3 linked regions of the Arabidopsis thaliana genome follow. Each later gene encodes a partner of the first gene's protein in a complex. Each region holds a gene or a part of one and is shown in the gene's direction. Other genes may lie near its edges.

The links.
Region 2: THO7 (region 1) and THO1 share a complex: the UniProt entries of both Arabidopsis thaliana proteins name them as parts of the THO complex.
Region 3: THO7 (region 1) and THO5 share a complex: the UniProt entries of both Arabidopsis thaliana proteins name them as parts of the THO complex.

The regions. Positions count from the first base shown.
Region 1 is NC_003074.8:665,261-669,014, reverse strand, and holds the start of THO7 (Tho complex subunit 7/Mft1p), read left to right. Parts: upstream 1-2,092; 5' UTR 2,093-2,226; exon of another isoform or gene 2,227-2,418; intron 2,419-2,543; 5' UTR 2,544-2,575; coding exon 2,576-3,175; intron 3,176-3,273; coding exon 3,274-3,384; 3' UTR 3,385-3,754. Other genes in the region: AT3G02960 (Heavy metal transport/detoxification superfamily protein), read left to right, coding at 389-397, 487-661, 990-1,165, 1,298-1,391, 1,484-1,770. UniProt on the Arabidopsis thaliana protein: Acts as a component of the THO subcomplex of the TREX complex which is thought to couple mRNA transcription, processing and nuclear export.
Region 2 is NC_003076.8:3,064,862-3,068,615, forward strand, and holds the start of THO1 (nuclear matrix protein-like protein), read left to right. Parts: upstream 1-1,716; 5' UTR 1,717-1,953; coding exon 1,954-1,956; intron 1,957-2,055; coding exon 2,056-2,139; intron 2,140-2,215; coding exon 2,216-2,290; intron 2,291-2,386; coding exon 2,387-2,489; intron 2,490-2,649; coding exon 2,650-2,795; intron 2,796-2,874; coding exon 2,875-2,946; intron 2,947-3,072; coding exon 3,073-3,145; intron 3,146-3,235; coding exon 3,236-3,301; intron 3,302-3,397; coding exon 3,398-3,444; intron 3,445-3,633; coding exon 3,634-3,705; intron 3,706-3,754. Other genes in the region: AT5G09850 (Transcription elongation factor (TFIIS) family protein), read right to left, coding at 1-360. UniProt on the Arabidopsis thaliana protein: Acts as a component of the THO subcomplex of the TREX complex which is thought to couple mRNA transcription, processing and nuclear export. Contributes to the integrity of the endogenous trans-acting small interfering RNA (ta-siRNA) pathway.
Region 3 is NC_003070.9:17,150,974-17,154,727, forward strand, and holds the start of THO5 (THO complex, subunit 5), read left to right. Parts: upstream 1-1,922; 5' UTR 1,923-1,982; coding exon 1,983-2,465; intron 2,466-2,639; coding exon 2,640-2,976; intron 2,977-3,067; coding exon 3,068-3,360; intron 3,361-3,443; coding exon 3,444-3,689; 3' UTR 3,690-3,754. Other genes in the region: AT1G45231 (S-adenosyl-L-methionine-dependent methyltransferases superfamily protein), read right to left, coding at 5-44, 130-221. UniProt on the Arabidopsis thaliana protein: Acts as a component of the THO subcomplex of the TREX complex which is thought to couple mRNA transcription, processing and nuclear export.

The DNA.
Region 1 (3,754 bases):
TATTTGACAACAACAACAACAAAATGTTGATAAGTAAGAAAATAAAGCTCGAAGATTTGTAACTATTCATGATTTTAGAAAATCGGAATAATGAATAGTGTACTTATTTGGACACTGAATAAGAAGTTACACAAGTCCCGATTGAAATTTAATTTACTAATGATCGTTACAAAATTATTTGTCTCTTTGTCATCAATCCTGTTAGTGAATATTAGAATTATTATTCATTGTAAACAAATAGGATCATCCAGATTGAGAAGTAAATAATTTTATGTATGTTACAAATGAAATAATTAATTGATCGTAAAACCTCTCTGACCTTATATATATCGAGTCTCACTATTCAACTTTTTCATTGCACTTGTCGTACAAAGGAGTAAACATTGATATGGGAAAGGTATGTGCATTCCTGTCTTTGGTAATTCCAGTAATTTGTTAAGTAAATTATGTGAACTTATATTTTGTGTTTTGGATTTGGTTCTAAAGAACAAGCAAAATGGAGAATCAGACAACAAGTCTGAAAAGAAGAACCAGAAAAATGGAGATTCATCAGTCGATAAGTCTGATAAGAAAAATCAATGTAAAGAAATTGTTCTGAAGGTTTACATGCACTGTGAAGGATGTGCATCACAAGTTTCTCATTGCTTGAGGGGCTATGATGGTAATACTCTATTAAAAGAAACATTATTAGATTACTTTCCCTCTTTAATGGAATCATATATATATGGTCTCGATCATAAGAATCAATGTCAAATATTTAATCATTTATCATTGAGTGAAATTGTACTATAATTTAACTTAAGCATTATCTAGTCTGGTTTCAGTTTTATTTTTCTTTCCTGTAATCTAGAGAAGTTGTCTATTAATTCCCACAATGACATAACGAATAGTAATCTCTAGTTCTTAAAGCATCAATTAAAAAATAGGATTACCGTTTTTTTCTTCTTACTCATGACTCATAAGTAGCTATTATCTTATTTGTCTTATAGGGGTTGAGCATATTAAGACAGAGATAGGAGACAATAAAGTTGTTGTGTCTGGAAAATTTGATGATCCGTTGAAGATATTACGAAGAGTGCAAAAGAAATTTAGTAGAAATGCTGAGATGATTTCCCCAAAACATAACCCTAAACAAGATCAGAAGGAGCCACAGCAAAAGAAAGAAGTAAGTTATTTCCAATTATTTCGTGTTAGAACTTAGATATATACTCTCATTTATATCATACCTTGTCTAATTAATCTGAGAATAACAACTAACATATCTAATCATTTCTAAATATTTTTTGCATGATTTTAGAGTGCTCCCGAGATCAAAACTGCAATTTTAAGAATGAACATGCACTGTGAAGGATGTGTTCATGAAATCAAAAGAGGCATTGAAAAAATAAAAGGTAATCTTTGTATATACATATAGAAATAATACGATATCGAAAGTTAAAAAAAACAACTTAGAATATGTTTGTTTGTTTTGACAAATTAAAAGGCATTCAATCGGTGGAACCAGACCGGTCAAAGTCAACGGTAGTGGTACGAGGAGTCATGGATCCTCCAAAACTTGTGGAGAAAATCAAGAAAAAACTTGGGAAACATGCAGAGCTTCTAAGTCAAATTACAGAGAAAGGCAAAGACAATAATAAGAAGAACAATAATAAGAAGGAAGAAAGTGATGGAAACAAAATCTTTAGTTACCCTCCTCAGTATTCATCTCAACATGCTTATCCCTCTCAGATTTTTAGCGACGAAAATGTACATTCTTGTTCAATCATGTGATTTTTTGACCCGTAAAATTAGAGTCTTTTTAAGTTATCTTTTATGGTTTTGATTTCCTTGCTACACATTTCTATATCTCAATAGATTTTAATTTAATTTAATTTTTGAGTGACACTTTATGAAAGTAAGATTTGGTGTCATGTGTATACTCGATTACTAGATTATGTTTGTAGTTGTGGGCCTTTTGTACAATTATTTGTAAAAAAAAATTAACAGGGCATTAGAGTATAAAAAAAAAGAATGTGGGTATATATTATATTTTAATAACTTAGGGTCTATTTTGTAATATAATATAAGTTGAGAGTACTTGTTGCATTTAACCCAAAAAGAAAAAGACAAGGGAGGACGAAGATGAATTGTCTCAATTTTTAGGGTTCATCAAAATTTGAACAAAAGGGACCTGTTTTGCTCAATTTTTGATAGCAGAAGACGAATCTGGATCTGGGGTCACTTCAAGTAAGTAAAGAGTTAACCTTTTGCTTTTTTTTGTACCATAAATTGTGTTCGAATGGTACGATTGAGAAATTGCTTACGAATCAATGAAATAACAGTTAAGATTTTGATGATGAATGCTCATGAAAATCTATTTAAGTTTGATTGAGAAATTGAAGAAGAGAATAAGAAATCGAGAGATTTATTGCGTAAATGGTAATACTTTATGTTTCAGTTCTGCTATTTAGATCCAAGCTTGAATATGTATCCCTTAGCTTTATTTCTGTAGGTTAAGATTGTTTGGTTGTTGAATGTTCTTTGTTTGTGCATTGCCTTTGCAGGATTGAATTAAGAGGTTTTTAAGTAAGTTGAGATGTCAGTTAAAGCAAGGAGAATTTCTGGTAGATTAGAGACTGTAGTAACTAAGGTTAATTATGCATTTGATCCTGTTGACGATGACAAAATCATAAGAAACCGGCTTCTAACCCGAACCACGACCACTCGAGGCGAGCCTCCATTGAAGAAACTTCAGAAGAAGTTCACTTCTTTTGTACTCGAGGTGGATAAAGAAGAAGAGAACTATAACGACTGCGGTAGACTTGCCAAAGCTTTTTTACAGGAACTGTCAACTTTCGAGATTCCGCTTCTGAAGAGCCAAGCGGTTGTGGAAGCAAACCTTAGGGAGAAAGAGAGCTTTAATGAGGTGAAAGATGAGACGGAAAGGCAGATAATGCAGGCGAAAGCTGAGATTGAAGATCTAAAGAAGCAGCTTGAGGAGAGTAAAATAGATAGACAGCATAAAGAAGAGTGTGAGACGATAAGGAAACTGATTTCTGCGCAACCGCCAAGGTCAGAGACAGAGAAGGTTATATATGAATTGAACAAGGAGATTGCTGAGCTTGAAGCAGAGAGCACTGCAAGTTGGAGATTGCTTGAGCTAAGGAAGAAGCAGTTTGCTCTCCTGATGCATGTGGTAATGTCAAAAAACCGAACCTTTTACGTTTCAGTCTTCATTACGTGATCTATGTTTGAAGTTTGAGTTTGTGATTGTGAACGTTTTTGGGAATGTAGGTGGATGAGTTGCAGAACACAATGGAAGATGAGCAGAAGAGTTTGGTGGACGAGATTCGGTCAGCGTCGGAAGATCAGAGGAACATAACCGACGCTATGTCTGTTGATTAAGTCCAAATCTCGATAAAACCTGCATCATGTTTCAAGCGTTTGCTTTGTCATCTGTTTCCTGTTTCTGATATGCCTATGTTAACCAAAACTGCGGCAGCTCAGTATACTGAAACCTGTGATTCGGATAGAAGAACTGAGAAACAAAGATTGTTTCTTTCAAATTTGCAGATGCAAGAAAGATTGTATCATTGTAAAATGCAGATGTTTAAGAAATTATGGTTTGTATAACCGGTTAAGAAATACCAATTTCTTGGTAATGTACTTTTTTACTCCAAACCGAGGCTGAACTGTTGATTCAATTAAACCGAGGTGGTTTACTATAAATTAATTACGTCGTGACGGGTTTGCTTTTGAACCGGCTTAGAAATTA
Region 2 (3,754 bases), on another chromosome or scaffold:
AAACAAACCAGCAAAGGGATCGAAATCGTCATCGTCTTCAACATTAACAGATTTCTCTCTAACTTCTTCTTCTGCTGCTGCTGTTACTCCTTCTTCATCTTCCTCCTCCGTCTCCTCGTGAACCCTCCCATTATTAACCCTACCAATCGCCGCCTCCGTAACGTTACCACCGCCGCCAAAATCGCAGTTTCTACACTTGTTAGCCATCGACGTAGCGTAGAGACGCTCGACGATGTTATCTCTCCGACGTTTCAGTTCTTGACCATAGTCAAGAGACGCAACAAGAATCGCCGTATCGATAAATGTCCAAACATCAACACCTGCGTTATCCATAACCGATCGGAAATCATCCAAATCCATTATCACCCACACTCCTCCTTCTTCCCCAAATTTGGTTACTTAATAAAGAATTCAAAACGAAAAACAAAAAACAGAGCAAATCGAATTACGTAACCAGATCTAAAAGATGAATCTTTTGATGAATTTGATTCATCGGAGATTAAAAATCGTGAAGAACCAAACAAAGTTTAGATTTCAAATAGTTTAAAAGATAGACAAATAAAAAAAACAAAAAACAGAAGAATCAGATTGGTAAATTCAGATTAAAAAGGAAGACCCTTTACTGTTACGAGGAAGAAAGAAACAGAGGAGGTCGTCTCACATAAGATCAATAATGAGTAAATGGCAAATTAAAAAAAAAAAAGGGAATGAAGAAGAAAGGGAATATTCCAAATTTGAGGCTTTAGAATTTGGTTTGGAGGGTTATTGCTTTTTCTTTCATTCTTCTGCAAGTTTTTTTTTGTTTGGTCCGTTAATAAAAATAATATTCAGACAGAATCAATTAACAGTTTTAGGACAAAAGTAAAAGAAGAAAATGGGAATTGCTTTATTGAGGGATGATGCTCTTTGCCCTGGACAGAGCAAAGCTAAGCAAGTTGGTTTGTTGTGGTTGGGGAGATGAACAGCTCTAGAGAGAGAGAGAGAGAGATGTGAGTGTTTTTCTTTCAATAATGGCGTTTACTTTTTTTAGTTTTTCTTCAAGTGACGAGAAACATTTTACATGTTTCGACTTTTTTGGTTATTGGGCCTCTAAATTTTTGGCCCTATAGCAAGTGGACCCAATATGTCAAATCAATATTTTCATTTGGTCTCAAAGTGTTTGTTTCATGACTTTCATCTCATGAGCCACTGCCACTCACTAATCGTTTAGTGAATTTACGTCGACGGTACAATCAAAACCCCCAAAGAGAAGATCACATCCGAGTTTTTAGGTGTTGAAGGAGGTGTTCGATCCATCAAAGTTTACTTTGTTAGGAAGTAATGTTTATTTATCACTTGTTGAGTGTAGATTATGAATACAATGTCTTTTATGCAATTATTGGAACCTAATATTTATCTCGAACAATTTCGAGCAATTTTTGAAATCTTCAAATCCTTCTCATGTGAGCTATTATGATTTCTTCTGCAATAACATACCATGAACAATTTCGAGCAATTTTTGAATACAGATGTTTTAAATTTCTAATTGATTTGATTCCACACATTAAAACTACGCCATATCCAACATATACAGGCAAAGGTCTTCTGTAAAACTAAATAATGTGAAGCCCACCACCCAACGGATATCATTTTACTATGAAAGGCCCAATGAACATGTTGTTATTCAGTTTATAAATTAAAAATATTTCGGATCCAGATCCAAGCCCGGATATTTGCGGATAATTTGATTGTTGGGAGGATATCTTCCGGATCCGGATCCACCCTAAATTAAAATTGTTCTTCCTCCACTCTTCTTCAAGTTTGGCCTCCGTTTCCAGATTTTTATTCAATTCTTCTTAATCAACTTTTAAAATCCGGCGACTCATAGTCCGTGAATTTTGACCGGCATATCCGGTTTTGGTGTCGTCGGTAAATTCCTCTTCATTGCAGTGGAAGCTGGTTCATTGAGAAATAATGGTAACTCTTTTGGGATTATGAGACTTGTTTTCTTTTGCTTCTTGTTAAATCTATATAGCTTATAAAAACTTGTTTTCTGCAATTTGTGGTTCTTCGCAGGATGCATTTAGAGATGCTATATTGCAGCGAGCTCCAATTGAAACCTTTGCACTCAAGACTGTTCAACACTTTATACAACCTCAGGTAACTCTTTCGAATCAACTAACAATTTCTTCACTCCTTTAGTCTTACTTATTGTCTTTATTGTAAAATTTGACAGAAACAAACAAAGTTGGCTCAAGATGAAAACCAAATGCTTGAAAACATGCTCCGGACATTGCTGCAGGAGCTAGTGGTCTCTTCTTTCTCCACTATTATATTTTCGTGGTATGCGTATATACTTGTTCATTTATATATGTGTGGATTTCTCTTTCTGTTTTCGGGGTTTCAGGCTGCTGCTGCGCAATCAGGGGAGCAAATTATGCAGTATGGTCAGTTGATTGACGATGATGATGATGATGATGATATACATGGACAGATTCCTCATCTTCTAGGTTAGCAATCTCTCTAGTCTGATTTGCATAGTTCGTTCAAACAAGTGCTAGCGTTGTCCCCGTAAAACTTCTTATTCTCTTGTTGTCTATTGCTTATCATCTTGTCCTCACTACTTTTGTCTAACCTCTCACCATCTTCATGTTTTGATTGCTTTGTTAGATGTTGTGCTTTATCTTTGTGAGAAAGAGCATGTAGAAGGTGGCATGATATTCCAGCTGCTGGAGGATTTGACCGAAATGTCTACTATGAAAAACTGTAAAGATGTTTTCGGTTATATTGAAAGCAAACAAGATATATTGGGCAAGGTATTTCTTAAACGAAATCAAATTTTTTCTCGGTTAGTTGTATCTTGTATTTTGACTTGGATGTTGCAATTATTTGCAGCAAGAGCTTTTTGCACGCGGAAAACTTGTCATGTTGAGGACTTGCAACCAACTTCTCCGCCGACTCTCAAAGGTTCGCTATCTGCACCCTTTTCTAGTTCCCTTTGTCAAATATCCATAAGTCATAATCTACTTTTTCATATATAACACATCCACTCTTTTTTAATTCTTTTTTTTGCTTTCACTATTTGGCATACAGGCCAATGATGTTGTATTCTGTGGAAGGATTCTTATGTTTTTGGCTCACTTTTTTCCGTTATCTGAGCGCTCAGGTAAGAAGGGTTTCTCGTGCATATACGATTATTTGGTATGTGAATGTTTAAAAGGTGTGTAACGTTTACTTGCGTGACTTATTCTTTCAGCCGTCAATATAAAAGGTGTTTTTAATACATCTAATGAAACCAAATATGAAAAAGATCCTCCAAAAGGCAAGTGATTTTTTTTTTTCTTATGCTTTTGGTCCTTATCTCCATATGACAATTCTAAAACGTGTTACTTATTCTGTCTATGTCATTGCTTCTCAGGCATTTCTGTAGATTTCAACTTCTACAAGACATTTTGGAGTTTACAGGTGCGTATTAGTTAAAGGAACTTTGTAGGGAACGAATGTTATGCCTTTATCATAAGGGTTGTCTCATAGAACCTCTGTTTGCATATCATGCAAAATCAACATTACTGGAGATAGCATCTCAAATTTCCTTTTGTTAGTTAGTTTATTGAGATAGTTCTTTTCTTACTGAGAAAATTGTTTCGTTTCCAGGAGTATTTCTGTAATCCCGCTTCTCTTACTTCCGCATCTACCAAGTGGCAGAAATTTTCATCCAGTTTGGCGGTATGTGATCTTTGGTTTTTGACTAAATTGCATTACCTGGTCTTGTATA
Region 3 (3,754 bases), on another chromosome or scaffold:
TTACACCACTGTGTTGATGGAAGAGAGGAGTATCTGTATCGACCCTGAGGAATTGAAACAGAGGAGAATCAGAAGTCAACAAAAGAGCTTAATCTTATTTTTTAAAAGTCAAAAAGGATTATTTATTACCATAGATGGATTTGAGTAAGCTTGAAGAGAGAACCCAGAGCTTCAATAGCTTCACCTTCTGCTTCTTCTACTTCGCCTCTGACCTTTCCCATTCTTTCAGGAGTATGAATCAAAACCCCCCATAGACCCCTCTTCTTATATGGGAATTTGGTATTTGAACCGACGCCGTTTTTAGTAGTTTTTGTCGTTTGGTATATAAACCGAGCCAAACCGAAATTTGTCTAGTTTGATTTGGATTGGTTAATTAGATATCGGCAAGAAGAAGCATAGATTTTGATAAACGGTCCGGTTCGGAACTACCAAACCGAAATTATCGAAATTTTATTTTAAAGTTGACCGAAATGTACCTAAACATACCAAATTTAACAGAAACTGAACCGAATTTGGTTTCCATTCCAAAATCAGCACTATAAAACTAAAATCAATCAAAATTAATTGGTTTGATTATGTTCGGTTTGGAACTATCAAACTAAAATTAACGAAAATTTATTTTAAAAACCATCAAAAATGTACCAAATTAAACCGAAATTGTTAAATTAATAACCGACTCGATTACAAATCGGCACTATTTATACCATAAACTGAACCAAATTTCGGTCTGATGAGGTGAAGTTGATTTCAAACCGAACATTGAAATATCAAAATTTCGAACCAAACCGGACCGGCTTAGTTCTAAGAAAACGGTAAAAATATCAAAAAAAAGCCTGAACTTTCAAATTTGGGATGAAAAAAGCATGAACTTTGTAAATGTCGTATTAATCATGAAGTTTTAGTTAATTTCTCAAAAAAAATAGCTAAGTTTCGTTGACCGAGCCGTTAAAGGCTTGCCGTTAAATTTTCGTTAACAGAGTTATCACTCCGTTAGAAATTTAAAACGACGTCGTTTTAAATTTTAAAATTAAACAGAAAAAATGAACCTTGCCAAGATTGGAACCGTTACCATGAGAAACTCATTACGAGATTATAAACCATTGACCCACAATTACATTTTGTCAAAGTGACAAACACTAATGTATATATATACTCAACTATTCGTCTTCTCATTCATCTCCTCTATCCCTAGAATCGGAGTTCTCTCCGTAAACAGGATTCCATCGGCGTTTTGGTTTCGTTCCATTAGACAGATATCGGAGTGAGCGATTTTTGTTTTATTGATCTTTGTTGTGGTTTGAGCATTAACCAGCTCTTAGGTATCAAAACTGTAATTTTGTTCATCTTCTCAAACCTTTTTAATAATTTGGTTTCAAAATTGAGGGAATTGAGAAAAAATACATATAGATCCATTAGATCACAATCTAAAGCTCATGTTCGACGAAGATAACACAGATCTGAATCGCAAATCTCACAATCAACATAAAAATTGAAATGCGATTGGGTTTTGTGAACTTGAGAAAAATACAAAGCTATGGCACGCAACAATAGAGTTTTGTTAGTTTCTGTTAATTATGTAATATTAAATATAAACTTTTGTTATTTGATACGAAGATGTTATTTTGTCTAAATGGTTTGGATGTTTGTAAAAGTATTCTCATGTCTCATGTTTGAGCTCAGGTGGTAGTCATTTTTTCTGTTTAATTTTAAATTTTAAAACGACGTCGTTTTGGGTTTCTAACGAAATGATAACTCTGTTATTATTCTGTTAACGGAAATTTAACGGCATGTCTTTAACGGGCCAGTCAACGAAAGTTAGCTTTTTTTCTGAGAAGTCAATCAAAACTTCATAATTAATATGACATTTTCAAAGTTCATGCCTTTTCTATCCAAATTTGAAAGCTCAGGCTTTTTTTTTTGTTGACATTTTTCCCCTTTTAAAACCCTCTCTCCGAGCTCGGCGAGATCAGAGGAAGTAAATTATGCAATCGGAGATGGCGATAGACACGGTGGCCACGGCGGAGAAATCACCACTAGAGCTACTTCAACAAACCAAAGCCTCCGTCGAAGCAATCATAGCAAAGATGCTCTCCATCAAGCAACAAGGAACCCCTAAATCCGAGAATCGAGAACTCCTCACTCAGATGTTTCTCAACTTCATCAATCTTCGTCAAGCGAATCGCTCGATTCTTATAGAAGAAGAGAAAGTGAGAACAGAAACGGAAATAGCAAAATCTCCGGTGGATTTCACGACGTTGGAGCTTCACAATCTCATGTATGAGAAGAGTCATTACCTCAAAGCTAATAAAGCTAGTAGAGATTTCAAATCTAGGTATCCAAACATCGATCTCATATCCGAACAAGACTTCTTCAGTGATGCTCCCGAAGCAATCAAATCTCAAACGTTATCAAATGATAGTTCTCATGATTTGATGCTTAAAAGACTCAATTTTGAGCTTCATCAGGTAAATTTCATTTCAAAGTTCATGTCTTTAAGGTCTTGTAGTAGCTTGATTCAATGTGATTCAATGTTAAGCTTTATACATCTCTGTCTCGAATCGTTAGACCAAGTTCATGTGTTAGATATTGTTGGAGTTTTTATTCAAAAGTGATTGAATGTTTAAGTTTGTTATACACAGAGGAAAGAGCTATGCAAGCTTAGAGTGAGGTTGGAGCAACAGAAGAAGAGTTTACTTGAAAGTAATGCGGAGAGGAACAAGTTTCTGTCAAGTCTTCCAGTGCATCTCAAATCTCTAAAGAAAGCATCTTTGCCAGTACAGAGCCAGTTGAGTTTGCAGAATCAGAAGAAGCTGAAGTATCATAATCTAGCTGAGCTTCTTCCTCCGCCGCTTTATGTTATATATTCGCAGTTCATGGCACTGAAGGAAGCTTTCGAAGAGAATATCGATGTTGAGGTATCTGGGAGTCTTAAGGATGCTCAAACTTATGCGCGGCAGCAAGCAGAACAGAACTCAGGTTAGCAATTCTCACACCTTTAGTTAAAATAAGAATTGAAAATGGAATAGTTATGTGCTCGTTAAAATGACATGTATGTTCAATAATACAGAGAGTCTAAGATTAGAGGTTGGTGTTGATGAAGAAAGGCAAAGGAAACGACTCAAGAAAGTGGGTTCTGATGAGGGAGGAGTATATCAAGTTCATCCTCTTAAAGTTGTCCTTCATGTTTATGATGACGAGATTACAGATCCGAAATCTCATGAACTTGTCATGCTCAAGTTTGAGTACTTGTTGAAGTTGAATGTTGTATGTGTTGGCATTGAAGAGTCTGAGGATGGACTTGAGAAAAATATACTATGTAACTTATTTCCAGACGATTCTGGACTTGAGCCTCCTCATCAGGTACATGTGGTTTTCCTTTTTGATATTCATTCACATATGTTTGCTTGAAAACAGTCATACTCACTTCCTTTACGGTTATACAGTCAGCCAAGCTCATTCTTGGCAACGATCATGTGTTTGATAAAAGCAGAACTTCGAGGCCATATAAGTGGGCACAACATTTGGCGGGGATTGAGACTTTACCTGAAATGTCACCATTTTTTACTGACAAGGATATTCAATATAGTGATACAGCTAAAGGCTATGCTTCTGCTTCTGATCACCGCAATGTGCAAACCGTTCTGCAAAGAATACGGTCCCAGAAAAAGACTAAGCTAACGCTTGTGTGAGTCACACCACTCAGTATGTTTTTTCCCATCTTTTGACAGTAGTAGAAGTTTTTCATATTTGTAAG